Lonchura striata: one gene and its partners. The protein of the gene in region 2 purifies or fractionates together with the protein of the main gene of each other region. This does not show direct contact. Links are inferred from orthologs where the notes say so. Each region holds a gene or a part of one and is shown on either strand. Other genes may lie near its edges.

What was found.
Region 1: the proteins of MAP3K4 (region 2) and GADD45B purify together in Homo sapiens (co-immunoprecipitation; 3 studies listed by BioGRID and IntAct, counting the BioPlex papers as one, with this or other methods). This does not show direct contact. The link is inferred for Lonchura striata from reciprocal best matches to the Homo sapiens genes MAP3K4 and GADD45B.
Region 3: the proteins of MAP3K4 (region 2) and GADD45A purify together in Homo sapiens (co-immunoprecipitation; 3 studies listed by BioGRID and IntAct, with this or other methods). This does not show direct contact. The link is inferred for Lonchura striata from reciprocal best matches to the Homo sapiens genes MAP3K4 and GADD45A.

Annotation. Positions count from the first base shown.
Region 1 is NC_134630.1:6,070,365-6,079,672, reverse strand, and holds GADD45B (growth arrest and DNA damage-inducible protein GADD45 beta), read right to left. Parts: upstream 3,967-9,308; 5' UTR 3,827-3,966; coding exon 3,789-3,826; intron 3,702-3,788; coding exon 3,600-3,701; intron 3,386-3,599; coding exon 3,172-3,385; intron 3,053-3,171; coding exon 2,939-3,052; 3' UTR 2,238-2,938; downstream 1-2,237. Other genes in the region: STAP2 (signal-transducing adaptor protein 2), read right to left, coding at 6,954-7,015, 7,565-7,699, 8,308-8,386, 9,289-9,308.
Region 2 is NC_134605.1:36,155,288-36,165,023, reverse strand, and holds the start of MAP3K4 (mitogen-activated protein kinase kinase kinase 4), read right to left. Parts: upstream 3,797-9,736; 5' UTR 3,603-3,796; coding exon 3,529-3,602; intron 1-3,528. UniProt on the Homo sapiens protein: Component of a protein kinase signal transduction cascade. Activates the CSBP2, P38 and JNK MAPK pathways, but not the ERK pathway. Specifically phosphorylates and activates MAP2K4 and MAP2K6.
Region 3 is NC_134611.1:5,081,684-5,091,355, forward strand, and holds GADD45A (growth arrest and DNA damage-inducible protein GADD45 alpha), read right to left. Parts: upstream 3,790-9,672; 5' UTR 3,737-3,789; coding exon 3,693-3,736; intron 3,611-3,692; coding exon 3,509-3,610; intron 3,431-3,508; coding exon 3,217-3,430; intron 2,721-3,216; coding exon 2,607-2,720; 3' UTR 2,216-2,606; downstream 1-2,215. UniProt on the Homo sapiens protein: In T-cells, functions as a regulator of p38 MAPKs by inhibiting p88 phosphorylation and activity.

The DNA of each region.
Region 1 (9,308 bases), on a different chromosome or scaffold from region 2:
CCGGGTGGCCCGGGGACAGCAGCGGGGCCACCCCCCCCATTCCTGCCGGGGACCCCCCCGACCGCGGGGACTCCGTGGAGGATCCCGCGATGTCCCCACGCGGGTGACACGGGGACACCCGTGACGCGACGGGGCCGCCACGGTGACATCACGGAGGGACATCCTGCTCCGGGTGTCACCGGCGGGGGAAGGGTGGTGGTGGTGGGTGGGGGGGGAACAGCTCCGTGCCTCAGTTTCCCCCAATTTCCAGAGCTTGGGCATGTCGCTTTGGGTTAGGGGGGTTCGGGGCGGGCGGCGCCCCCACGGTTTCTCGTCGCCGGTGTCGCTCCCGGGGTGGAGCCGGAGCCACCGGAGCCGCCGGAGCCGCCGGAGCCACCGGAGCCGCCGGAGCCACCGGAGCCGCCCAGGCCAGACTCGTAAATCAGCGGCTCCGGCCCTGCCCTGTCTGGCCGCGGCCGCCCCGGAGCCGGGAAGGGGCTCGGGGCCCCCGAACCCCGCCCGTGTCACCCCCCGGGACCTCCCGCCCCCCAAAATCCTCCCCCCACCCCGTGTCGGCTTTTTGGGGGGTGCCCAACACCCATCCTGCACCCCAGGGCTGGCTGCGACCTCCTAATTCATTATTAATGACCTAATTATCACCCAGGGTTGAATTATCCCGCGGTGGTGATGGGGGGGGTCCCCCCAGGACCCCCATTCCCAGCCCTGGATTCCTTTTCCCGGCGCTGGGGGGGTGGGGGTGAGTGAGGGACCCCTCCCCGAACCCCCAAACCTCCCCCCGTGTCCGGGCCGGCTCCGAGGGGTGCAAAGTTGGGTCAGAGCCCGGCCGGGATCCCCGAGCCAGCGCGGTCCCGTCCCATTGTCCCCACCCCGGCTGGGGGGACTTTTGGGGCTCCGTGGGTTTGGGGTCCATGGGGGGGGGGTGTCTGTGGGGGTTTCTGGGCCCCGGCTGCAGTTTGGGGTGACTCGGGGTGTCCCTGGAGGGGACACGGGGACACCGTGGGGGGGGTGGCATGTGCGTGACCCGGCTGGGGGGGGGGGGGGGGGGCTGCTCCTGCGGGTGGGAAGGGAGATTTTGGGGGGTCTGGGGGGCACAGGGGAGGTCTGGGGGGGACGGTCACCCCTCCCGGCCCCGTGACACAGCGGCGGCCTGACACACCGGTCACACGAGCGGCACGGCCGCGGTGACAGCGGCGACAGGAATGGCCTCGTGACCGCGCTGCCTCATCAGTGAAACGAGTTGCGGCGGCCTCAGCCGCCCTCGGGCCCTTTCCCTGCGGGATTTTCCCGGGAGGATCCCGGGGAACAGCGCGACCCCATCGCGCCCCCCCCACCCCACAGCTGGGGGACCTCGGGGGGGTCGCGGTTTGGGCCACCCAGAGGGTGCTGTGGTGCTGTCACCCCCTTGTCCCTTGGGACCGCCGGGACACGGCGGGGTGGCGCTGCGGTGGCTGTCACGCACCGTGCCTCAGTTTCCCCCGCAGTCAAAACCCCAAAGGAGGGCGCAGGGCGCGTCCCCGAGCCGCGCCACACTCGGGGCCGGCCACGGCGTCCCCAGACCGGGGCTGGCCGGTCGCCGTGTCCCGGCCGGGCTCCGTGCCGGGGCTGGCACCGCTCCCGCTCACCCCGTGTGACACCGCGCGGGTGACACGGGGCACGGCCAGCTCAGGGGAGCCGCAGCCGCTCCGCCAAGCCCCCCACGCGTGTCCCGGGGAGCCCCCGCGGGTCCCCATTTCCCACCCAGCCCCGACCGCACCGGCCTCAGTTTCCCCGGAGCCCTCGGGGTTGTCCTTGTCCCCACCCCCGGAGGACGGAGGGAACTCCCCCACCGCGGCCGGGGGAGGGGATGGGGGCGCGGGGACTCCCCGGGGTGCCCCCACCCCCGCGGGCAGCCCCGGGGCCGCTTCCCACGGCCGCGGTTTCCGCGCGGGTGGGGGAAAACTCCAGCCCCGAGCCCGGGGGGAGCCCGTGCTCAGCTTCCCACGGAGCTCAGGGCACCTCGTGGGTGTTTTTCTTGGAAAAAACCCCTTTTTCAGAGAAGGGTGGGGTGGGAATTTCTCCTCCAGCAGCAGCAGAGAGGCCACACACGGGTGGGAACCCCCGGCCCTACAAAAGGCCCCCCCCAAAAGCGTGCAGAGCCCTTAGGGGAGGTGTAGCCCACCCCAAAACCCACCCAGGAGGCGCCGATCCCGCTCCCTTGGGAACGGCTCCAGCAGAGCGCAGGGAAGAGCAAACACCACTAACGTCAGACATTTTATTGCAAATAAATTTAGTTCCTCGCTCAGTAGAAGAATAAACTCTGGAAAAAGTTCAGCTCAGGGTCTCCAAGTGCAAAAGCAGCACTCGGGAGGTGCAGGTCCATCTGTGCGGACGTCCATAATTCCTTGAAAAAAGCAGTTTTTGCACCAAAAGAAAAATTTTTAAAAATCCAGATTTCTGCACTCCTCGCCTCCATCGGGTCCCAGCTGCCCAAAAATCGCGACGATGTCCAACTCCGGGGTCACCCCCCCGCGCTCCGCAGCGCCCGCCCGGGGCTCACTCGGCTCCGGTTCCCGGTCCAGCACGGCTCCTCGGCCGGCAGCTCCGGCCAGTGCCCGTGTCCAGTGTCCACCGGAGCTCCGGCCAGTGTCCAGTGTCCACCCGGGCTCCGGCCAGTGCCCGTGTCCAGTGTCCACCGGAGCTCCGGCCAGTGTCCACCCGGGCTCCGGCCAGCGTCCCCCTCCGGGCTCGGCACGGTTTCCTCCATTCCCACCGCAGCGGCCGCGCTCCCCTTTCCTCCTCCTCTCCGGTCCAAAAGAAAAATAAAATCGGTGGGTTTTGGGGATTGTGGCTTGGAACTGGCTGTTTCTTCTTCCCTTTTTTTTTTTCCCCTGTTGTTTTGTGTTGGGTTTTTATTTTTTTTTTAATGTTTTTAATCCTCCAAGTCCAGCCCGGGAAGGGCTCAGCGCTCCTGCAGACACACGTAAGGCACCCACTGGTTCCTGTCGCGACTCTCGGCGCAGTAACTCGCCACCTCCGCCAGCCCCTGACTCTTCCAGGCGTCCGTGTGCGGGTTCTGGAGAAGCAGGAGAACGATGTTAGTGCCACCAGCGCCCCGACGCGCGTCCCCGAGCCGCCCCGCCACCCTCCCCGACCGAGGCACGGGGGCACCGGGCGCGTCCCCGCCGCGCTCACCGTGACCAGGAGGCAGTGCAGGTCGCGGGGCTCGGAGCCGGGCTCGGGCTCGCCCAGGATGGCAGCGAGGCGCTGCATGCCCGACACGCGCAGGATGTGGATGTCGTTGTCGCAGCAGAACGCCTGGATCAGCGTGAAGTGGATCTGCAGGGCGATGTCGCCTTCGTCCTCCTCGTCGGTGGCCAGCACGCACAGCACCACGCTGTCGGGGTCCCTGCGGGGCCGCGGCGAGTTAGAACCCCGTCCCACGGAGCTGTCACCCCCCCACGCGTGTCACCTCCCTGTCGCACTGAGTGGGGGACAGATCCCCCATATTCTGCCTGGTCACCACCCCATAAAAGCTCCTAGCAAGAGCCAGCTTTTCTAAGCGGGCCGAGATGAGCCACCCCCCGACAGACCCCCCGACAGAGCCCTGTCGCGATACTCACACATTCATCAGCTTGGCCGACTCGTAGACCCCCACGGTGAGGCGGTCCTGACGCTGCGCCGCCACCAGCACCCGCTCCACCGCCTCGCTCACCGCCTGCATCCTGCCGGGAGGAACGACGGAGCCGGTGAGCGGCGGCGGCGACAACCGCAGACCCCCCCGCCGAACGCCGCGAGCCGCCGCCACTTACTTGCTGCTGTCGCAAGGCACCAGCTCCTCCAGGGTCATGGTGCAATTGTAATCCGCAGAAGAAGAAAGCAAACTCCAAGAGCAATAATCCCGAGCGCGGCTATCGCGGGGATATCGCGGAGATATCGCGGCGCTATCGCGATCCCCGGTCCCGCTCCGCTCCCGCCGCCGCTCCAGCACGATCGCTCTGAACGCCGGCCGCGCCCGGCGCCGCCTTTTATAGCCTCCCGCCGGAGGGCGGGGCCTCGCGCGGCGCCCCCGCCTCGCCCATTGGCTGCGCCGCGCGGAGCCGCCCACGGGCGAGGCGCTGATTGGGCGCCGCCGGCGGGGCCCACGTGGGGGTGAAACGGAGGGGGGGGGGAGCGTGGGGGAAACCCCGCCCTGAAACTGCGCCCCCCCGGGACGGGCGTGGGACCGGCCGGGAACGGGGGAACCGGGGGGGAACCGGGGGGGAACCGGGGGGGAACCGGGGGGGAACCGGGGGGGAACCGGGGGGGAACCGGGGGCCGGGGTCGGTCCGTGGGACCGGGATCCGCTCCGGGGGTCGTTCCTTGCACCGGGAGTTGCACCGGGGGTCGTTCCTTGCACCGGGGGGCTGCACCGGGACCCGCTCCGGGGGTCGTTCCTTGCACCGGGACCTGCAACGGTGGTCGGTCGGTGCACCGGGGGGTGATCTGTGGGACCGGGAGCTGCACCGGGTGTCGGTCCCTGAGGTCGGTTCGTGCATGGGGGTCTGCACGGCGGGAGTCGGTCCGTGGGACCGGAGCTGCACCGGGGGTCGGGGGCTGCACCGGGGTTTTAGTGCGTGGAGTTGGGGCTGTACCGGGGGCTCGGTCCGTGCACCGGGGGTTGTTCCTTGATCGGGGTTCGGTCAGTGCACCGGGGCGGCAGCGGGGGTCGCTCGGTGGGCGGCGGAACGGTCCGTACAGCGGGGGCTGCACCGGGGGTCCGTCGGTGGAGCGGGGGTTGCACCGGGGGGCGGCAATGCCCGCGGCGGCGCGCGGGGGCGGCTCGGTCCGTGCACCGGGACCGGCAGCCGGGGGCGGGAGGGGTCGGCGCGCTCGGAGCGGGGAAACGGGGACACGCGGGGAGCTCCGCGCTCCGCGGCCGCCACCTGCCGGGGACACGGCCCGGGCCCGCGGGGACGCGCTCCCGCTGTCCCGGGGCTTGGCACGGCGGGGTCACCTCACCCGGGCCCCCCCGGTCCCGCAGCTGCGGGGCCGGAGCGGCGCGTGAACCTCCGGGGGTCGCGGGACGCGCCCGCGCCGTGCCTCAGTTTCCCGCGGCCGCGTCCTCCTGAGCCGTGTTGCCCACGCTGCCCGCAGCCCACGGCGGTGCTGGCGCTCCGTTCGTGTCCCCGCTGTCCCCGGTCCCCTGTCGGTGTCCCCGGTCCCCTGTCGGTGTCCCCGGTCCCCTGTCGGTGTCCCCGGTTCCCGGTCGCTGTCCCCCCGTGTCCCCCCCCGACCCAGCGCAGCGATGGCCGCGCTCCCGCTCCGAGCCAGCAGGCGGCGCTGTCTGCTGCCCCCGCCGCAAAGTCTTCTGGGAAGTGTAGTCCTGGAGCGGCTTTGCGCGCCCTTAAAAGGAGACTCCATTACCCAGAGGGCTTTGCGAGCGGTGGTGGGCGGAGCCTCCGGGAGTGGGCGGGGCGCGGGGCCGGGACCGGGATCGGGATCGGGACCGGGATCGGGGACCGGGGGCTGGAATCGGGATCGGGACCGGGATCGGGATCGGGGACCTGGGACCGGGACCGGGACCGTGATAGGGATCGGGGATAGGGACCGGGACCAGGACCGGGACCGGGACCGGGGACCGAGGGCTAGGACCGGGACCGGGATCAGGAGCTGGGACCAGGACCGGGGACCGGGGACCGAGGGCCGGGACCGGGGATCGGGACCGGGACCAGGAACCGGGATCGGGACCGTGACCGGGACCGGGACCGGGACCCGGAACCGGGACCGGGACCGGGACCCGACTGGGGCCGGGCTGGGGTTCATGAACCCGGCACCGACCTGGGCTGGGGGAAACCGAACCGGGACCGGGACCGGGCTGGGGGAGCCCAAACCCAGCCGGAGCAGGACCGGCAGCACCGGACCCGGTCTGGACCGGTTTTTTTTTTGCCATTTTGGAATTTTTGGGGAGGCTGCTGCCCTCAAAAAATCCAAATTTTTTGATTCGGGCTCCAGGGCCACAGGGCCAGGACCACAAACACTGACCCTGTTCCTTGTGAAGTGAAATAAATCTCGGCACCCGCGGGATAAATAAATAAATAAACACACAAATAAATAAATAAATTAAATAAAAACTCCACAAGCTGGTGCGTTTCTGGAGTGGGCACGTTGGCACAGTGAGATATTCCTCCAAGATTTGTGCCCCAGCCTCGGTGTGAGCCGCACTTCATTCACAAAGATGTTCCACGTCAATAAATACATATTATATTCCATATATTCAACCCCTGTCCTAAATGGGTCCACGCCCGTCTGGGCAGTTTGGGGGGTTTGCTGTGGTCTCAGGCTGAAGATTTGGTATTTTTGGTATTTTCCTGATTAAACTCCTGAGCTTTTCTCCTTTTTGTGTGTTTATCTCAGTAGCTCGGTCATTCTCGATAAGCTCGGAGGCAGAGGAGCTTCTTTATCTGCCTCTTTGCCTCCGCTGCCATCGCCCTTTAGGCGAGAATCTTCCCAAATTCGCATTTTCCTGCTCCCTTTGTACCGTGGCAAAAGGTTGCTCGGGCAGAAGGTAAAAATTCAACGCAGAATTCCACAAACTAAAATTGAAACGCTCGATTCATTTGGTTCAGTGAGCTCCAAAAATCACAATTTCACCCCCCCCTCCCCACTCCGTGCCCCCCCGGAGAATAAATCGGGATGTGGGTGTGACCCGGCCGTGCTGGGGGCACAGGGGGCACTTTGGGGTTCCTGTGACACCCCCGTGGTGCCAGGGGGCACTTTGGGGTTCCTGTGACACCCCCGTGGTGCCAGGAGCAGGAAGGGGCTGGGTGGGCACAGGGTTCTTTATTTACAGTGCCCCCCCAAAACGTGAGGGGGGTTCCCTCCCCGGTGCCACCACAGGCCGGGGGACACTGGGGACAGTTTTCCTGAGGGTGAGGGGGGGTCCTGCTGGCTGCTGGCACAGAGTGGGGGGCAGCGGGCACCCCCAGAGTTGCCCATCACTGAGCCTGGCGCAGCTGCAGCTTCTCGGGCAGCTCCCGGAGCAGCTCCTGGGTACTCGCTGTGCGGGGGGATGGAGCTGTGAGCGCCTGGCAGAGGATCCCCCTGCCCCCAGGAACCCCCCGGAACCCCCAGGAACCCCCAGGAACCCTCTGAGACCCCTGGAACCCTCTGAGACCCCTCTGAGCCTCCTCTGAGCCCCCCCAGACCTCTCTGATCCCCCCAGACCCCTCTGAGCCCCCCCCAGACCCCTCTGATCCCCCCAGACCCCTCTGAGACCCCTCTGAGCCCCCCAGGAGCCCCCCGCTCCTCCCCTCTGCCCCCCGAGCCGCTGGCAGGACCCGGTGTCCCCCTGCTGCCACCCCCCGTGTCCCCTGTGTGTCCCCTTGGTGTCCCCTCGCTGTGCTGGGGGGTGGCAGCGGGGCCGGGGGGGGTCAGGGCTCGGGGTGGGGGTGTTCCCTTCCCTCCCCTCCCCTCCCCTCCCCTCCCCTCCCCTCCCCTCCCCTCCCCTCCCCTCCCCTCCCCTCCCCTCCCCTCCCCTCCCCTCCCCTCCCCTCCCCTCCCCTCCCCTCCCCTCCCGTTCCCTCCCCGCAGTCCCGGGCGGCCTCACCGGGCTCGTTCACGCGGATCCGCTCCCCGGGCACCGGCCCCGAGCCGGGGGGGGCTCTGCCCCTCCTCAGGGCCGGCCGCCCCCTCCTCAGGGCCGCTCTGAGCGGGGGGGGGCTCCCGTCCATCGGCACCGACTCTGCAGCGGGGCGGGGGGGGGTCACAGACCCTCCGTCTGCAGGCGACACCCCCAGACCCCCCGAGCGCCCCCAGACCCCCCCGAGCGCCCCCAGACCCCTCTGAGCCTCCTCTGAGCCCCCAGACCCCCCCGAGCACCCCCAGACCCCTCTGAGCCCCCCAGACTCCCCCGAGCTCCCCCAGACCCCCCGAGCACCCCCAGACCCCCCCCGAGCGTCCCCAGACCCCCCGAGCACCCCCAGACCCCTCTGAGCCCCCCAGACTCCCCCGAGCTCCCCCAGACCCCCCGAGAGCCCCCAGACCCCCCCCGAGCGTCCCCAGACCCCTCTGAGCCTCCTCTGAGCCCCCAGACCCCCCTGAGCACCCCCAGACCCCTCTGAGCCTCCTCTGAGCCCCCCCAGACCCCTCCGAGGCCCCCCAGACCCCTTTGAGACCCCCAGACCCTCCCGAGCCCCCAGACCCCTCTGACCACCCCCAGACCCCTCCGAGCCCCCCCACACCCATCTGAGACCCCTCAGACCCCTCTGATCTCCCTCGGAGCCCCCCAGCCCGGTACTCCCCAAGCCCCGGTGCCCCCCCAGCCCCCCGAGCCCCCCGCCCGGTGCCCACCCCGCTCCAGGGGCCGCAGGCTGCCCCGGCTGCTCCGCACCAGGATCCGCAGCAGCTCCGGCAGCGCCGAGCAGCGCAGCTGGGGAACCCCGGGTCACCGGGACAGCCCCGGGACACCGGGACAGCCCGGAACACCGGGACAGCCCCGGGACACCGGGACAGCCCGGAACACCGGGACAGCCCGGGACACCGGGACAGCCCGGGTCATTGGGACAGCCCGGGACACCGGGACAGCCCGGGTCATTGGGACAGCCCGGGACACCGGGACAGCCCCGGGACACCGGGACAGCCCGGGTCATTGGGACAGCCCGGGACACCGGGACAGCCCCGGGTCACCGGGGACACCTCCGGGTCACCGGGACAGCCCCGGGTCACCGGGACAGCCCGGGACACCGGGACACCTCCGGGTCACCGGGACAGCCCCGGGACACCGGGACAGCCCCGCCTCACCGGGACAGCCCGGGACACCGGGACACCCCAGGGACACCGGGACAGCCCCGGGACACCGGGACAGCCCCGGGACACCGGGACACCCCCGGGACACCGGGACAGCCCGGGACACCGGGACAGCCCGGGACACCGGGACACCCCAGGGACACCGGGACAGCCCCGGGACACCGGGACACCCCCGGGACACCGGGACAGCCCGGGACACCGGGACAGCCCCGGGTCACCGGGATCCCCGGCACCCCCAGACCCTGCCCGGGGGGTCCCACCCGCTGGGCTGCAGCCCCTTGGGGTGTCCCAGTCTCGTGGGGGTTCCCAGGGATCCCAAAGCTGGGGGTCCCTGTCCCTTCTTTGGGGGTCCCAGTTCCTTGAGCCCCAGCCCCCTGGGGACCCCTTGGTCCCACCCTTGGGTGCTCGCGGGATTCCCGGGGGCTGCCCACCCTTGGTGCCCACACGGTGCCCGGGGTGAGCCGGGGGGCTCGGGGGTGGCCGGGGTGGGGGTCCCTGTCGCCAGGGCCAGCCCGTGTCCCTCACCGGGGTCTCCATGTCGATGG
Region 2 (9,736 bases):
GGTCAACACACTATTGACTAGCAGTTGGTACTATGAAAAATTGTCTTCTAAATGTATTTTAGCTGCAGTTTAAAATAATGGTGTGTATGCAATTTAAGAAATGTGGTTGTCATGGAAGTCAAATCTTTATAAGCCTCTAAAAATCCCAATTAGCTCCCTGAAGTAAGAATTACTGCATATCTCTTATGCTTTCCTTTAAATTCAGTAGATTTGTTTTCATCACAGCACAGTTTGCATTCCACAAAGGTCAATATCACTAGCTTACATAATAGCAAAACCAACCTTGACAGAGACAGCACTAATTAACAGACATAAAAACAACCCAAGCAGCCACACAACACAGACTAATCCTTACTGCTACCAATGCCAAAGACATCTCAACGAGCACTTCATGTGTGTTTGTGCGTAGGTGGAGCAATCAGTCATTCATTCCAGTCTTGCACATGTAAACAAGAAAATGCAATACATGTAGAATAGAGATTACATCTCACTTCATTTAAATGCATGAGAGAAAAAAAAACTATGGCAAAGCTCTATATACTTAAATCATTTTTCCCACTGAAGCTATGATCTTAATAAAATAAGCTCCTTCACTGCTCATATACTATCAGCCATACAGATAGTCTGGCAAGCAGGAAAATATGTTGAGCACAATTCATGACATAACCTCAGGCTTTCCCCAAACCACAGATGCTGCAGACTGACAGCCCCAATTCATTGTCATCCTAGAGACAACAAATCTGGCAGAGAGACTACTGACAAGCTCTCCAGCAAGGAGGAAGCCTCCACATAATTCACAATTCTGTCCCACCTTATTCACAGCCTTGATCCTTCCTTCACCCCTTGCACTGGATGTGTGCTAGGAGAAAAGAGGGCTACAAGCAATCAAAGCACAAGTCAGGGTAGCCCTATGTCTCTTCATGCCTTTGCAGTGCCCCCAAACAAAGGACAGAGTCCCAACAAAGGACATGCTTAAGGCCTCATTTTTCTCTACGGTGGATTTTGTGCCAGAAAATTCTTGGGAAAGCCTAAAATTGGGCTTGAGAAATATAAAGCCTATGGGAAATGGTCAAGAAACACTAAACACATCCGTTTTAATTGGCATTCTAAATTATCTAAGTGGAAACATTTTAGCTTGAAAACTTTCCACTTGTTTTAAGGATTGATACTTAAACGTGAATTCTTCACTAAATCTTTCAGTAGTATCTTTTCACTTATCCATAACCACTGCATGCTATCCAGGGTCAAAGTGCAATTCTACCTCAAAATCAACATTTGTTCATAGCTTCCCTGAGCATTTTTCAGTTTAGAGCTGTCTCCCCTCTCTCCCCCCACCAAAGTGTGTTTCAAGAATGAAAATAAGACCTGGGAAAAACACAGTGTTTTTGGAGAGGGATTCATAATCAAAAGCTTTTGACTAAGGACTGTGTAATTAAATATATATATATATATATATATTTTATGTTTGCCTTCAGTTACAAAATTTACCATTGCATTTATATTCTAACAAGAGACAGACTCCTCACACAAAGACAAGCAGATTTCTCACATCAGGCAGTCTCAGAACAACAAATCAGTAAGTTTTGTTTATTAAACAAATGTAGGTGTATTGCTAATTCAGAATGACTGAATACTTCTCCACCAGAACTAAAGTTAACTTAAAGAGAATGCATTATAGCAATGCACTTTAGTAGCAGCCAGAACTCTTTATCATAAGAACACATTCATAGTCTACAAACAGGATTAAAAGTGATCTGCCATCAAATGGACTTCAAACGCCCAAGGCTGTGCAAAATAAACTGATTTCAACAAGATTCTGACCTCACAGCCCCAAGAATAAACAACTAATGATGGCTCCAAAATTTGAACCAAAAGAAAATCAGATATTTTACTTGTATTACATTTAAGTTAAAGCAAGTGCTGCATAAAGCCAGAGAAGCAGGTGTGAACTTGGGACACAAAGTACACGCAGAAGTGAATCACAGTGGATGGAGTACATGCATTACCCTACACAAATTAAGACTACCTAATTGTTCTGAGACATCCCCTTCCCACCTACCAGCTCACTCTGAAATAGCTAATTCAATTTTCATTTGCTGGGTAAAGTTGTCACCACATTATCCACACCCACATCCGACTCATATAAACTGTCCTGTAATAAGCAGAATCCAGCAGAGGTCAGAAATGGCCCTGCACAGGAAATGCCTGGGTGTTTTCCATTCAGGCTCTGAAGATTACTCTTCTGCATGAAGACAGCTCAGGTGTAGTGTCGTGCTGTTATACAAACTTTATTTTAAATCATTTTCTGCTTAACCTGCAGTATTAGTATTTGAAGAGTCCTTTAAAAAGGAACTTAGAACCTTACTAATTCCGTTGCCCTATAGCATTTATATTTCATAATATTTCTGTTAAATCTTACTAATTTTATATATATTCCGATTTTGGCATGACAGAAAAACAAATCGTTAGTGCACATTCATGAAAACTCAAAGGCACTGTTCAACCCCATAGCCTTGACCCACACAGGAGCACATCACCACTTCCCTTTTATTCCATCAGTACAGAACAACAGTTCACAATACTCAAGAACTATCTCAGCAACACCACAGCAGATATTTTGCACAGCACACCTGGAACACAATGCACCCGACTACTACATTACAGTATTAATTGATCACACAAGCGTTTTAAAAAGGTTTCCTGAATGCCTCCTAGCGAGAAGTGAAGTGCATCAACAGGATGTTATTTAAAAATGAGAAATAATTGCCACGGAATTAATAACTTGGACTTATGCAATACTTCTGCAGCCAGCTGGAAAAACTGAACCATAAAGTAATTTGCATCCCCATCTCTCAGCCGAGCACAGATGGAGACTCGCAAAAAGCCAATTGTAGAGGAGGTGACAGCAGTTGCAGAAAGCTTTGAGGCATCACAACACTTCTTTGTGAACGCTTTTTGTTTTTTGTGATTTTTTTTAACCCTATGTTCTTACAACTATCGATTGCAACGTTGCCAGCAGCGATACTCCATGACCCTGCTGTTTCACGGGCACGCCAAAGAGAACCCGATCTTAAGCACGGCTGCCATAAACACGAGACAGCCTCGCAGGAGGGCAGCGCTTTTATCGCTGCAGCTCACAAGTCAAGGAGCACAGGTCACGCTCCGTCCGCCTCCCGCGGGCTCCAGCTGCTGCTCCCGCTCCGCTCCGCAGCCTCCGGGAGCCGGGCGGGCACTGCCCCTACACACCGCTTGCACTACTGCGAGGCTGGGGGAGAAGGAAACTATTTGCTTTTAATTGCAAAGCGTCCACAAAACACTGCCTTACCCACCGCAACCACTAGAGATTTCTTATCGAAGCACCGTCTCGCTCCGTGGCGCTCCGCAGAAGCGCTGAAGCAGCAGCAGCCTCGGGTTCAGCAGCGCGGAGGGGCCGGGAGGCACAGCGTGCACCCCGGCCCCGGCGCTCGCAGCCCCGCCCGGCATCGCTCCCTGCACGGAGCCGGCGCTGAGGCAGCACTGGGTACTGACCTCCCCGGCGGCGGCGGCGGCGGCTCCTCCATGGCGGCGGCGGCGGCGCAAACCAGCTCGGCGGCGTCTCTCATGCATGCACCGGGGCCGGCATGGCGGCGGGCCCCAGTGCGCGGTGCGGGGGCGCAGCGCGGAGCAGGAGCAGCAGGAGGAGGGCAGCGGGTCCCTAGCCGGCTGCAGGAGTGCGGCCGCGCAGAGCCGCCCGCGCGGCCGCCATCTTGGGAACAGCCTCCGAGGGCAGCGGCGCCGGCAGCATCGCTACGGCGCGCCAGGAGGGACCGGCCGCACCAGAGGCGCCCGCTCCGCCGCGGCCGGACGAGGGGCGGCTCCCGGTGCGGGCTTCGCCGCTCGCCGCGGGGTCGGGACAGGCTGTGGGACAGCGGCGCTTCCCTCCGCACCGTGCGAATTACATCTCCGCGCTCCCCGCGAGGGGCCGCGTCTATCCCGAGGCGGGGCGGCGGTGGGGGCGCGGCGGGCGCTGCCGTCCCCTCCGTGCCCCGGCGACGGAGCTGCCGGGCGCTGCCTACGGCCGCTCACTGCGGGTGCCGCCGTCCCTGCCGCTGCTCGCTCCCACAGCGCCGGCACACAGCGAGAGAGGAAAAGTCTCACTGCGGAGGGGAAGGTGGTTTCCTGCAGCAGGTGCTGCTGCCTGCAGCCCTGCCGGCCCGAAGCCCAGCGCCTGCGGGGGCTGCAGCGGCCGCGCCCGGCTCCAAGGAGGGGAGGACGTGAAAGACCCTTTAGTGCCCCTTTGGGGTATGCATGGAAGAATAACCTTCTATCTTTTAGACTCTGCTGCTGACAGAGTAACTTGTTTGAATCTATGATCCTGGACTTTTTAAACCCTCCAGCAGCACTGGTTATCAGCCCCGGACAGAGAACTAGAGCCACATTATGCGGCTGGAAATACAGCGAGGAAAATGTGACTTCCTGAACTTAAGGTTGGCTGGAATATCAATATCAATATTAATTCCCGTCAAAGGCAGAAAAGTGCCACGGGTCGTTTAATTGTTAGGGTCGGTGAGAGGGAGTGTCCTCCTGTGTGTTACAGCACTGGAAGCACAGCAACAAACCTTGGGTCAGTAATGTGTACACAAAGCACACGCCTTACTTCTGATGGGTGACATTTGAGCTTGGACTAGAATCAGTTCTAGATTCTCCATTTTTGCACCAGTTTCTTCATTAGCTCAAGAAATTTGCACCTTTCTAGTCTGATACCAAAATTCAGCTGTAAAGTCACTGTTCATTAAATAAAGTTGTCCACCTCTCTGTTGAAGTTTAGGAAACAAATTCAACAGTCCTTTTGAAATAAAAGAAATTTTTTTTAAGCTGAAATGCAGGGTATACTTCTACTGTATCTACTATTTATCATCTTAATGAATTCACGCTTTAAAATCCAGGACCAGATAAATGTCATTATACAGGAAGCCACTTAGACTTTTCCATATGTCAAGAAAGATACCCAAATCACCATGACCCTGATGATCATGATATTGAAACATCAAGACATTCAAGATTTATGTCAAGAATTATTAGTTAACATTCTTCATGTAATGGAAAAACGCAGTATTTATCATGTCGAAGATTTTTGCTTGAGTACTTGAGCCCAAAACCATAAAGCAGTTCCAATGTCAGATGCACACAATACAGTCCCACTAGTCTGTCATGGTGAACAAAACCTAGAAACCATAGCTGAAGGACAAAAATTCTAAAGTGCTAAGCTAATAAATTAGTTGTCATCTCCATAAAAAGCATGTATTATCTAAGGTAAAGCTGCTTACTTCACAGTATGCATGTGTTTTTAGTATGATCACAAATAAAAAAAGCCAATGTTACAGTTTGAATTTGAACATTCTTTTCAGTTAGGGACCATTGTCTCACACCATCTCTGCAGCTGTTTGCAGAGCAAAGATGTATTTAGCAATCGTGGCAAAACATTTCAGCTTCTTTGCTTTTTCTATTAAAACAAGCAATACAGTGGTCTCTTAGAAGCACAGAGTTTTCATTAAATCTGATACTGCATTTTGCCATAGATGTGTTGTTGTGGAGGCGGTGCCATCCCAAGGTCCCCTTGGCAAAGGGAGGAATGGGGACTAACCACTGCCACTACTTTCTGTAAATATTAAGATAATTTACTGGAGTAAACTGTGGTTCACTGCAGCCTCTCAAACAAGGTGGTCCAGAAAACTCTTCCCTGTACACATTTTCCCCTTCCCCTTTAGGACAACCCAGCATATTGCATTTCGTCACATTCTTGTGGTATATCACAGAAAATATCATAGAACTACAGATACTGGCCAAGAAAAGCAAGGCTGTAAATTTGATACAGAGATGCTTTTTTAACTGCAATTGACCATGGTGAGCAACATAGCTCCTGGCATAAAGGAGAACATTGTAAGAGAAGAAGTTTATAAATGGCTTTATAGAGAACTTGGGAAGAAATTAAGAGATGCAGGAATATTTGGAGGTGATGGTACAGGAAGAACATCAGATGATATAAGAGCCTATATAGGAATATATTCGGCAAAGAAAAAATTTCAAGGCAACACAGAGGTCTTAAAAATTGATATGCAAAAAATTTTTAATTATTTTTTACTTCTTTTAAGGAATATCATCGTATTTCAGACTCCCTGACTACCAGTTTCTGAGTCTAAACAATCAATATTTCAAAGGTGCATGGAAATTGATAAATGAAATTGTTCTCTCTGGTCCTACTACTGGAACAGAAGAAGTCACAAGGTTAAAATACACATCACAATAAGTAGCACCTGTCTGTAATAAAATTGAGTTAAAATATTAGGAATTTATTTTATTGTCTGATGTGGCAAAATCATGACTCCAAAATTCCAGTTTAAAAAAACAAACCAGGAAATAAGTAACTGTCAAAATAGACAAGTTTATTTCAGTTTAACTTCTGTCTTCAGAAGTTTTAGAATTAATTTTCTTCTTTTTCTTCAGGAAACATCTGGCTTTATAATTTAGCAGGTGCTGCAATTGCTTAGGAATTACTTTTTATTCTAGCAACATGCCTTTTATTACAGTAGCAATCCTAGAATTTGCAATAGAAATTTGACATGGCAATAGCATCCTAATAACAAAAATATATCTTTAAAATAGCATTTTCAAATTTCTACTGCAAGTACCCTTGAAATTTCTGTCGATTTCTGGGGCATATATGCTGTTGTTCCTTCCTCCTCAAGTCATCACAGATATCAGACACAGTTGTACATGCAGCTGTGCTTTTGCCATCTGACATTTCTCCAGGTATTTTCTCTATACAAAATATCCTAATCTAGACAAAGAAATATTTGGTCCATTTAAGTAAATAAATACATTATAAGAATATATTTGAAAATTTTTCTTCTGGTACCTGTCACAAGGCCAAACTTCAAAACATTTTTTTCACACTATGAATATTGCACAGAATAAGGCACAACTTGGTTTTGGGTTTTCTTAAGTCATGTAAATGAAATCTCAGTAAATGAAATCTAATAATCAGATTTTTCTTCACTGTGTGAACTACATGCAAAAAAATTTCAAATTCTTAACAAACCCAGCTTTGTACAATTAGTTTTTCCTTCAAATAAGTTATTTATTTTAATTCTAATAAAATCTATTTTAAAGTAAAAGCAGAGGTAATCAGACATTAGAAAATAGTCTGCTAGGTATAGTTAGTCTAGATTTAGTAAAATGTGCTGAAGACGGAATATTCATTTTTTCTTGGTCATAGGTTAGAAATGCTCTTCTGCAATGCATTGAAGAGTAAAACATGAACAATACATGCATTTAATATCTAGAACACATCCTGACACCATTTCTTATGTAGACATTGCAACTAGCATCTCCACAGTCCAAATAAAATACCAAGATGTATTTCTACCTGGGCATATGCAGATTCCTCCATATACAGTTTCGTTCTTCTCACAGAAGATCAGGTTGGGGGTGGCATTGAAAGAAACAGAACCCAGTTTTCAGTGTTATCTAACCTGAGCATTGCTGCAATTGATTTGAAGTGTGAAGCTGAAAGAAATTAAGGAGTCCCACTGTATATAGGCCTGTTCAATCACCCGTTACTGCTGTGATTCATTCACTTGGGAAGCTGGCACGATAGCTGCCAAAGCTTGTTCAGCAGCATGGTTTGACACCCGTGCTATAATAGGAGCTGGCTAACTTGATGGAGGTGGAATATTTCTGTCTGAGCACTGTCATCTCACAGGCTGCATGTCGGATTGCACAGGGCTCAATACCATTAATTCGCCACTATTAGAGGAGTATTTGTTAGTAAGAGTAGCATGAGGTCAGAGACATTCCTGTGATTATTGTTTTATCACTGCAAATGGGCATCACATTATTTTTTTTAGGTACATCTTGTCCTAAAAAGCAACTCTATGTAGCACTGCCTCTGCATTATTAAAACAGCATGACCCAAATGAGACAAGTACAAAATCCAGTTGTGCTTAAAGCTGTATGCTTTTACTGTCTGGCCCAAAGCTGGTCTTTGGGCTCAGTGTCTATAAAGCTGGGCATAGCTAAACCCACTGTCTGCTCTTCAAAGATACCAAGGCACTAGACTTAGAAATTATCTGAAACTGAAAATGTTGACACATGTATAGCAGTGTGGCTACAGCAGTTTACATCTTCCCAATAACTGATTTTGACCTGTGAAAATCAGCTGCACTGAATTCAATGCTACTTGAACTTGCTTATCAACAACAGACTAAGCTTGCTAGGTTCCTGCTAAATCATATTTTAATTCTTTCCCCAGGCATATAATAGACATACTCAGTGAGAAGCCATGGGGCATTTATAAACACGACCAAATGCTTGTCTGCATTGGTGTTCACTGCATTAATTTCATGTTCAAAGAAGCTCCAGTGAAGAGCTGGGGCCAATTCTTTGCAACCCTACTTGTAGGCTCAGAGCATATCTATTTATCTTCTGTGTGTGCCTGACAGTGCAATCCAATGCACTGTTGCACACAACTCTTTCAACGTTTTCAAGCATCTTGCAAGTTTGACTAGTTACTTATACCAAAATGTATAAAGTGATGCTTCTTCTTTCCATCATCCCAGAAAGCACCAAAAAAAGTTCCAAACTATATTTTTTTTAAATTATCTGGTTGTGCAGCTGAGATTTGCCTTTTAGTAGCTGTGTTATCCCAGCAGAAAGCAGCTGTGAGATTTGTATCAAACTTCCCTGTCTGGGAAGGCTGGAGCTGCCCATGTCTCCTCTTTCCCACTGTTATTTTTATAAGTGAGAATAATCACAGAAAAGTAGCTGGCATTTTCCTTTATCCCAGCAGGTCCTGGCAGTTGTATCAGCTGGACGGAGTCATAAACAGCCATGAGAAAATTTTAATCTTCATTAAATGTTAATCCCTACAAACACATACACATCAGTTCACTTATATAATAGGCATACTGAAATCAGTGGGACAACCCTGGGAGAACAGTTACTCATACATATAAATGTTTATAGGATTCATTTCCTCCTTTTGCTCTGAATCATCTGGAATAATGCTGTCCCCACAACTTCACAAGGTGAATTTTGTGGTGTAATCCTGTTGATGGCTCAGTTCTGGTGAACATCAGTAGGAATTAAGATATTCCCCATTTGTTGCAAAGCCCTCCTAACTACAGCATAGTAAAATAGTATCTTATTCTATAACTCCCAGTTGTGTCCCATTCTGTAGTGCCAGAGGTTTAATTTTTTAATTTCCGTCCATTTCATTACTTCAAAAAAGCTGTTCCCTCATTGTTAACATAACTATTTTCATCCTTTTAAATACTTATACAGTTCCTACAGTATAAAGAGGTAATTGCCTGCCATTTGACATTATTTCAATGCATTCAGAGTTTTTTATTCTCATTTGAATCCTATTAGCCCCTATCATTATTTCTATAATTGATTTGGATTTCCTCTTCCTCACAGGAATTGATGCTTACTTTAAGGCACATCCATGCTAGGAGATATAGCACACAGCACTTGAAATAACTGTGTAACGATGTGAGCTAATATGATGTCCTGGCACAGCAGTCTTTCCAGCTACAGCCAGCTGAGGAACCCAGATTATGACCTTTGTGTTAGGGAGAGGAGATCCATGTGATATTTTCTGCTGAGCTGTTTGTTTAAAAGATGGCTTGCCTCGACACCTTCGGTTGAATTTTTCTATGACTGCCAGGATACAATGGGCATTGATAAATTTTAGGAG
Region 3 (9,672 bases), on a different chromosome or scaffold from region 2:
GCAGCTGCTGGGGAGCTCTGCCTCAGCCTTCCTCCTGCTGGCCTCTCATCCCAGGGCTTTTCCAGGATAAAGTTGGGAATCAGAGATGCTTTCCCTGCTTTCCGTGGGTTGGAAAAGCAGAATTTCCAGCTTGGATTCTGCTGCCTTTTCTTCTCGAATAAAAAACTTTATTAGTGAAAAACACACCCTCAAAGAAATTAAAAAAGAGAGGCTGGAGGTGCCCTGGCAGAGCTGGAGGAACGCTGCCCTCACCCCCAGCCCCAGCCGGGTTCTGAGCAGGGAGTCAGAGCTTGACTCGTTTTTATAAAAAAAAAAATCAATTTTTAAACAGGAAAAATGCCAAATTAGCTCCAGCTTGTGATTATGCATTTATAATTGAGGGCCTTTCCATCTAGTATATATTTTATATATACATATAATAAAAATGTCTTTCTCTGTGTGTGTGTGTGTAGATATATAAACCTTATATATTAACAGCAAATTTTGAAGGGTTCACAAATAATCCTGGCTTCAGCTGGCTGCAAATGTCCTTTTGTGCAGGCAGCTGAAGTCATCTGCCATAACCCTGCATTTCTGGGGGGATATTTGCAGAATTTCTGAGCCCCTTACGTTGCAGATTTGTCATTTCTGTATGAAATTACAGACCCACTTTTGATAGAGAATAAAAAAAAAAATTCACCTTTGTTTGACAAATCTCTTTGGCAGAGCTCCAAAAATCAGCCTGGCAGAGCAACCTGCTGCTTACCCTGTGCAAATTATTTTTGTAACCAGAGTGTTTTTTAGTAGAAAAAGACACCAGCAGCAGCGTGGCTCTGCACCAGTTCCTTTTCACCGAGTCTGCTTGCCACACACCTGGCCACAATTAATGAGCTCTGTTAATTGCTCCTGTGGGGCTGAGGGGAGGGAGGGAGCCCCGTGCTGCCAGTCCTTGTTTTCCCAGGGATTTGGGAAGAGATTGGAATATTTTTTTGGGCTGCAGGGACGTTTTTGGTGTCTGCCCTTCAGAGACGCTCGTGGCAGGGTGCTGATCCAGATGTGGGCTCCTGCCTGGTGATCCAGCACAGCTGCCCACATCTGGCAGCGTTTAATGCCGAGATTTTTGGTGAACTCACCATTTTAAAATACAAGAAACGCCGAAATCTGGAGTGGTTAGGTTTGCTCTTTGCTATCAGTACCCCCAGAAAGAGCAGAGATTGTAAAATCTGGGGAAATGCAGGCTCTGCCTTTGTAGCTTTTTAAAAAATAAGCGAAACCATTGCATCCACAGGTAGTGGGAGAAACCCGTGGTGAGACCCCACCATGGGGCTGCCCCTCTTGTCCTTGGCCAAGCTGGCTGATCTGGGGAGAAAAATGAGAATTTGTGTGATTTGGGGAGAAAAATGAGAATTTGTGTGCTGGGCCAGGTTCCCCCAGGACCCCCCACTTTGTGGTGTGGGGACAGGGCTGGGGGTGACACTGGGAGAAACCAGAGGGGTTTGGATTGAATCTGAGCTTGGAGAAATAAATCTGCTGCTGCTGCTGCAGTGGCCCCAGGCACAGGGTGGGACCTGGGCTGGGGACAGGGACAGGGTGGCCTGGTGCTGGAGCATCCCAGGAGTGGGAGAACAGGTCCAGCCTCCCCTCCCGGCCTCCAGGAAACCCTGGGCCAGGTTTTGCTCCAGCAGGGAATCAGGATTTCCACCTGCCAAGGAGGAGCTGGAAACCCCATCAGCAAAACCCTTTTTTGTTTTTTTGTTTTTTTTTTTTCCATTTTTTTTGTTTGTTTTTTTGGTTTTTTTTTAGTGCCTGTTGCAGCAGCATTCAAGCAAATTAAATAAATAAATAAACAACATTCCCAACATTTCCTGCAGCACACGGGCTGCTTCAGCCTTTAATTGCTTGGGAGGGGCCGGGAATGAACCCACACTGGAGCTGCACAACAGGACCTTGCCCATGGCCAGGAGGAAGCAGCTGCTGCTCACTGCTCAGCCTCGTGCAGTGAGGGAATAAAAGCCTGGGCCAAAGGTTTGATTTTTACACTTTATTTCAAAAAAAAAAAAAAAGAAAACACAAAACAAGACCACCATAACCCCAAAAATACACTCGAATTTCAAACAATTATATTAATGGCGCTGCTTTTGCAGCCAACTGGGAGAAGATTCATGGTTGCAGACCAACTGCTTGAGGGCATTTCGGTTCTCAAACCACCAAGTATAAATAATTTTTTTTCCATTGATATCAGAAAATAACTTATTATTATTATTATTATATATCTTAGCATAAAAACGTGAGAATTACATCCCAAAAGTACAACAACATTGCTGGCAAAAGGCCTCGATGAACCTGTTTGCTCGTCAAGGCGTTCAAAGCAGGAACTTGAAGTGGCACTTAAGGACAGAGGGAGCGAGGGGAGTTGGGGCTGGGCTCATCCTGTTCTCCTCATCTGCCACACTCGGCATCGCTCCACCGCAGCCAAACCCCCCGCAAGTGACATCAGTTTTAGCGTTATTGTTTTACATCTACGTTTCGTTGTTGCTGTCGGGTTTTTATTTTCCCTCCCGGAGCCGGGGGCAGGGAGTTCCTTCCTGAGCGAGAATTTCTGCGGCGCCGCAGCGGCCGGGCCGGGGTCACCGCTCCGGGAGGTTGATGACCGGCACCCACTGGTCCAGGTACCGGCTCTCCCGGCAGAAACACATCAGCTGGCTCAGCGCCGGGTCCTTCCACTGCGACGCCTGCGGGTTCTGCAAAGGGGACGGCAAAAAAACAAATTAAAAAAAAAAACAAAGCTCCGGCACGGCAGCAAAAACAAGCCCAGAGCGGCGGGCGGGGGCTGGGGGGGAAGCGCAGGAGTGTGAATCATCTCAAATTGCTGGCGAGGCAAACAAACAAGTCGGGCCTGGGAGCGCGTCAGGAGCTTTAGCTTTGGACTCTGGGGCAGAGGAGGGAAGGGGGGAGGGAGAAAAAACCAGGAGGGAGAGATAAAAGTGGGGGAAGGGAGGGAAAGAAAAAGGGAAAAATAAAGAGGGAAAGGAGGAAAGCAAAGGAAAGAAAAGACGGAACAGGGGAAAGAGGCGAGGAACAAAGGAGGAGCCGGGGCACAGCGGCGAACGGGGGCGAGGGCGGCGGAGGCACCGCGGGACCCCGCGCCGCCCCGGGGCCGCGGGTTCGAGCCCCGGGCGCGGCGGCTCGGGGGTCCCGAGCGGCGGCGGGGAGCCCGCGGGGGCAGCCCGGGCTCACCGTGACGAGCACGCAGTGCAGGTCGGCGGGCGGGTCGGGGCCCGCGGCGGGCAGCAGCAGCTCGGCCAGGCGCGCCGGGTTGCTGACGCGCAGGATGTTGATGTCGTTCTCGCAGCAGAAGGCCCGCAGCAGCGTGAAGTGGATCTGCAGCGCCGCGTCCCCCGCCTCCTCCTCCTCGGCCGCCAGCAGGCACAGCACCACGTTATCGGGGTCCCTGCGGGGCAGCGCCGTCACCGCGGGCGCACCGGGCAGGGCGCACCGGGGGGAGGACGGGGACGGGGGGGGCACTCACACGTTGAGCAGCTTGGCCGCCTCGTAGACGCCGAGGGTCAGGCTCCGCTGGCTCAGCGCCTTGCTCAGCACCTCCTCGAGCGCGTCCCCCGCCTGCTCCATCCTGCGCCGGGACACGCGGCACCGGCCGTCACCGGCCACCCCGCGCCGCTCCCCGCCCGGCCCCCGCCGCCCCCCGGCCTCACCTCCCGGCGGCGCGGCGCTCCCCGGGCAGCTCCTCCAGGGTCATCACGGGGCTGGGGCGGCCAGGGGCTGGGGTGGACAGGGGCTGGGGTGGACAGGGGCTGGGGTGGACAGGGGCTGGCGGACACCGCGCTCCGGCCGCTGCGGCCGCTCCGGCCCCGCCGCCCGTGCCGGACAAAGGCGCCCCGCGCGCGCCGCCCCGCCCGGCGCCCGGCCCCGCCCCTTCGTTTGCATAACCAGCGCCCATTGGTTCATGCAAATTAGACCACGCCCATTGCGTGCCGGGTCCGGCCGGGCCTGGCCGGGATCGGGAATGGGAACGGGAATGGGAATGAGATCGGGATCGGGAATGGGAACGGGAACAGGATCGGGAATGGGAACGGGATCTGAGCTCTCCCTGGATCCTTCTCCTCTCCAGGGGAACATTCCCAGGGGCTCTGAGCTCTCCCTGGATCCTTCTCCTCTCCAGGGGAACATTCCCAGGGGCTCTGAGCTCTCCCTGGATCCTTCTCCTCTCCAGGGGAACATTCCCAGGGGCTCTGAGCTCTCCCTGGATCCTTCTCCTCTCCAGGGGAACATTCCCAGGGGCTCTGAGCTCTCCCTGGATCCTTCTCCTCTCCAGGGGAACATTCCCAGGGGCTCTGAGCTCTCCCTGGATCCTTCTCCTCTCCAGGGGAACATTCCCAGGGGCTCTGAGCTCTCCCTGGATCCTTCTCCTTCTGTGTTTGCCACAGGCAGCCACGCTGCTGCCCCTGGATCCCTGGCAGTGCCCAGGCCAGGCTGGACAGGCTGGAGCAGCCTGGGACAGTGGGAGGTGTCCCTGCCACGGCAGGGGTGGCACTGGGTGATCTTTAAGATCTCTCCCAACCCAACCCAGCCTGTGGTTCTGCGATCTCTCCCTTTGCAGCTTTCCAAGAACTTGGTGCTTGTCCGGGAAGCTGCTCCTGCTCCAGATGTCCCGTGTCAGCCCCGAGACCTCCGGGCAGGATTTCTCCTGGTGGCTGCTGTGTCAAAGCTTTCTCAGCTGCTGCACCCAAACCCCTCCATCCTCCCACAGCCGCTGCCAGAGCTCTTTCCCAACCTGGCTGTGGGCTGGCACATTCCCACCGGCCCCACGGCTGCAGTCAGGACCCTTGGTGGTCCCTTACGGAGATTTGGCAGCGTGTGCTTTAAAGTTTGGCTTGTGCCGGTGTTTTCCTGCAGCTCCTGAGCTCCAGGAGCCGTTTCCACAGCACAAGGTGCAGAGCGATGCCAGATCCATGCAGCTCCTGCAGAACCCCTGAGGGAAATGAGATATCACAGAATCCCCCTCTGGGAAATGAGGTATCACAGAATCCTGGAGTGGTTTGGGCTGGAAGGAACCCCAGGGATGGTTTTGTTCCACCCCCCCATCTTGCTCCAAGTCCTGCCCAATCTGGAACACTTCAGGGGCATATCAAAGCGTTTCTGCAGCAGAATAATGAGGGTGATTTCTGCGCCCCCCGGCTGTGCTGGCTCCGGGAGGAAAACCTCCCAGGGCTTTGTTCTGTCCCCCCGGCCCGGCTCTACCCTGCCCTGCTGCCGCAGCCTGGTGAGAGCCGGTGTGGGGGAAAGGGAGAAAAGCCCTTTTTGCATCAGGTGGAGGGGCGGCAGATGGCCGGACCGCAGCAAAACAGGTGGGAGCATTGTGCGGTGACCCTCCGAATTAAGTGCGCTTAATTTGCTGTATCTCTATTAGCAACTGCGGGCTCCGCCTGTGCCTCCGCAGCCCCATCTGTGCCGGCCCCAGAGCTAAATCTGTCTGGGAGGCAGCTGGGAAGCAGCTGAAGGCTCTTTTCCCCTCCCGGGGGCGGCGGGCAGCGCTCTGAACCCGCGCTGGCCCCGCGGCTCTCCCGCCGTCTCCCGTTCTCCCGTTTCCCGAGGATGCGGGATGCGGGCTGCGGGGTGCGCGGGGACAGCGCTGGCCGTGCCGGGATGTGCCGTGGCCGCCGGCCCGGGCAGCCCGGGATGGAGCTGTTGTCCCTCCGTCAGCTCCCAGCTGGCAGCTGCTGCTGAACCTCCTTTCATCGCCTGCCAAAAGCGGCCGCGGTGTTTGTCTCCCCCCCTGCCCTTTAATCCCGACTTTCATCATTCTCTAGGCCGGGCCTGCCCTCCCCTCCTTCGGCGTGGCAGAGTCGGGGGTCGGGAGCCGTGTGGGGCTCAGGCTCCGCCGAGGGGCTCAGCTCTTCCCCCCACTCGGCAGAGCCTCACCCCGAATGTTCTCTGGGCTGCGGGGCTGAGCTGCCCGAGCTCGGAGGCGGCTTGGACAGCAATGGGTTAACCCCAGGGATGTGGGAGATGCCCACTGGAGCCCCCGGTGGGGGAGGACGTCTGGACCAGCTGCAGAGGCGCTTCCCGCACCTCAGAGCATCAGCTTGTTTAATTTCAGATTTTGGGAAGGAGACCAGCCGTCAAACAGCGGCAGTGAGAGGTGACAGAGCCCCATCCCTCCGGAGCCCCGGCAGCCGGCCAGGCCCTTCCCGGGGGTGCCTCGGGGTGGTCCCGGCCCTGAGCCCCTGGAACAGTGCCGGGATGCTGCTCCCGTTCCCTTGGCTCCTGCTGTCCCTCCTTGGGGTGCCCCCGATCCCCCTCCCTCGTTTCCCTGCTTTGTCCTGTCCCAGGTGGGACCTTTGTCCAGCCCCTTGGCTGCTGTGGGAAATCTCGCTGTGCCCGTTTGCTGGGACACCCCTGGGCACCCCAGGCTGCTGTGCCAGGGCCACCGAGCGTTCCCAGTGCCTCTGGATCCGCTGGATGCAGAGCAAACGCCAGCTTGCACATTCCAGGGACGGCCTCTGCTCCGGGAGCCGCCGTGTCCCCGGTGCCACCAGTTCCGTGTCACCGAGCTGACCTGCGGTGCCCAGGCACATCCACCTTCCCAGAGCGGGGCATCCCGCCCCGGAGCCGTGCAGGAGCGGATCCCCGGGCTCTGGCAGCCAGGGAACCTCGGCTTGGCCTCCCCGTGGAGCAGGGCAGGAGCCTGGGAGTGCCCCAGGATCCACCCGCCCTGGCACCATCAGTGCCACATCCTCTCCAGCACCGGCAGCACAAGGACAAGAAGACATTCCCCCCGTTTTCCTGGGAGTCCCCCCACCCCTGCTGGAGCTCAAAGCGGGGTTCAGCTGCAGCCACCCCTGCTGCTGCTCGGGGTTTGGCTTTGGGCAGCCCGGGAGCTCACGGCACAGCGGGAAGGGAAGCCCGGGCCCGCCTGGCCTTGGCTCTGGAGCTGGGCACGGTGCCGGCAGCTTTCTCAACCACCCAGGTCATGGGAGTGCAGCCGAGAGCCCGGCTCGGTGGCACGGAGCAGGGCTGGCACCTCCCCGGCACGGAGCAGGACTGGCACTTCCCCAGCACGGAGCAGGGCTGGCAGCTCCCCGGCACGGAGCAGGGCTGGCACTTCCCCGGCACGGAGCAGGGCTGGCACTTCCCCGGCACGGAGCAGGGCTGGCACTTCCCTGGCACGGAGCAGGACTGGCACTTCCCCGGCACGGAGCAGGACTGGCACTTCCCCAGCACGGAGCAGGGCTGGCAGTTCCCCGGCACGGAGCAGGGCTGGCACCTCCCTGGCACGGAGCAGGGCTGGCACCTCCCCGGCACGGAGCAGGGCTGGCACTTCCCCAGCACGGAGCAGGGCTGGCAGCTCCCCGGCACGGAGCAGGGCTGGCAGCTCCCCGGCACGGGCATTCTCCTCCTGCCTGGCCCCAGCCCCTTTGCGGGCTCCTGAGCGGGGCTCAGCTCCCGCAGAGGTGGGAGGGCAGGGGGCTGGGGCGCCGGGGATCTGGGATGTGTTTATCCCGCACTCAGCACATTCCTGCAGCCCGCCGTGGTGCTGGAAGGTCGCCGAGAGGGAGCCGGCTCTCCCTGGCTGCGGCAGGAGCTCTGCAAACAGCGAGCACGAGTGGGAGCCTGGGAGTGCTCCAGTGGCTTTAAACTGAAGGAGAGGAGATGGAGATTGGAGATCAGGAGGAAATTCTTGGCCGGGAGGGTGGTGAGACCCTGGCAGCTGTGGCTGCTCCGTTCCTGGAAGTGCTCGAAGCCAGCTTGGACAGGGCTTGGAGCAGCCTGGGACAGGGGAAGGTGTCCCTGCCTGCTCCCCAAGGGAGTGGGACTGGAGGAGGTCTAAGGTCCCTTTCAGCCCAAACCACCCCAGGATTCTGTGATTTCATGGCTCACCCATGTCCCACCACCCTGGGTAAATATCTGAAATGTCTTTTCCTTCTGCTGAAGGAGACTTCCTGCTGGAATATCTTTTCCTTCCCCAGCCCAGCAAGTCCCTGCTCAGCTCCTCGTGCCTGTGGGTTCAGGGCAGCAGAAGGCTGTGCTGCTCCTGGCAGGGACGTTCCCTCTGCCCTGCATGCACCCTCCACCCCTTCTCCCTGCAGAATCAGGCGTTTTTCCCAGCCTGGCCATGCCGGGCACGCGTGGCAGCCCGGGTGGGAACCACCCGGCCGGGCAGCGCCGGGCGAAGTCCAGCCCGGGGACAGAGAGAGCCGCGCTGAAGTGAAAACAAACTTTTTCCATTTCTTGGCAGCGTGGGGCCATAAAGCAGCGCACCAGTGGCGCTTCCACGTGGGAACACTTTCCTGTGCCGTGCTGCCAACACCCCCCGGCCCGGTGCTGCCTCCCGCAGGGAATTCCCTGTTCCCGGGCGCTTGGCTTTCCCCGGGCCCGCAGGAGAGCTCCGGTGTGAGCACTGGGAGGGCCGGACCCTCCCCAAACCAGCCCCCAGGCGTGCCCGTGGGATCCGGGAACGGGGGTGGTTCAGCCTCCAGCCACAGCGACCTTCACTGATGCTCCTGCGGGCAGCGGGGAGCTCGGGGCAGGGATGTTAAATCATTAATCTGGATTCATTTTGTCTCCTATAAATGGAGTGGGAAGAGTGATTGGAAAGCAAAGAGGAAGGAGCGTGGAGTGAAGACCAGGGTTTGGTGGCTGTTGCAGTAGAGATAATGAAACCGAGGCGTTTATTTGGGAGCAGATTTAAATATATAAATTAAAATAAATAATATAAAATGTATATAATGCCTATGAAGCCCTATTTCAGAGCTGTCTCCAGCTCTGGGGTCCAACATCAGCAGGACCTGGAGCTGCTGGAGAGAGCCCAGAGGAACCCCCAGAGCTGCTGCAGGGCTGGAGCCCCTCTGGAGCCAGGCTGGGAGAGCTGGGGGGGCTCCCTGGAGAGGAGAAGGATCCAGGGAGAGCTCAGAGCCCCTGGGAATGTTCCCCTGGAGAGGAGAAGGATCCAGGGAGAGCTCAGAGCCCCTGGGAATGTTCCCCTGGAGAGGAGAAGGATCCAGGGAGAGCTCAGAGCCCCTGGGAATGTTCCCCTGGAGAGGAGAAGGATCCAGGGAGAGCTCAGAGCCCCTGGGAATGTTCCCCTGGAGAGGAGAAGGATCCAGGGAGAGCTCAGAGCCCCTGGGAATGTTCCCTTGGAGAGGAGAAGGATCCAGGGAGAGCTCAGAGCCCCTGGGAATGTTCCCCTGGAGAGGAGAAGGATCCAGGGAGAGCTCAGAGCCCCTGGCAGGGCCTGGAGGGGCTCCAGGAGAGCTGGAGAGGGGCTGGGGACAAGGATGGAGGGACAGGACACAGGGAATGGCTTCACTGCCAGAGGGCAGGGATGGATGGGACATTGGGAATTGGGAATTGTTCCCTGGGATGGAATTCCCAGAGCAGCTTTGGCTGCCCCTGGATCCCTGGATCCCTGGCAGTGCCCAAGGATGAGGTTTGGAGCAGCCTTGCCTGGGTTCAGTCCCTGCTCAGGGACAGGGAAGGGAAGGGAAGGGAAGGGAAGGGAAGGGAAGGGAAGGGAAGGGAAGGGAAGGGAAGGGAAGGGAAGGGAAGGGAAGGGAAGGGAAGGGAAGGGAAGGGAAGGGAAGGGAAGGGAAGGGAAGGGAAGGGAAGGGCTCAGGACGGGCCGCCGTCGCTCTGGTGCTCTCTGGCGGCCGCAGCGGGGCCGGCACCGGGAGC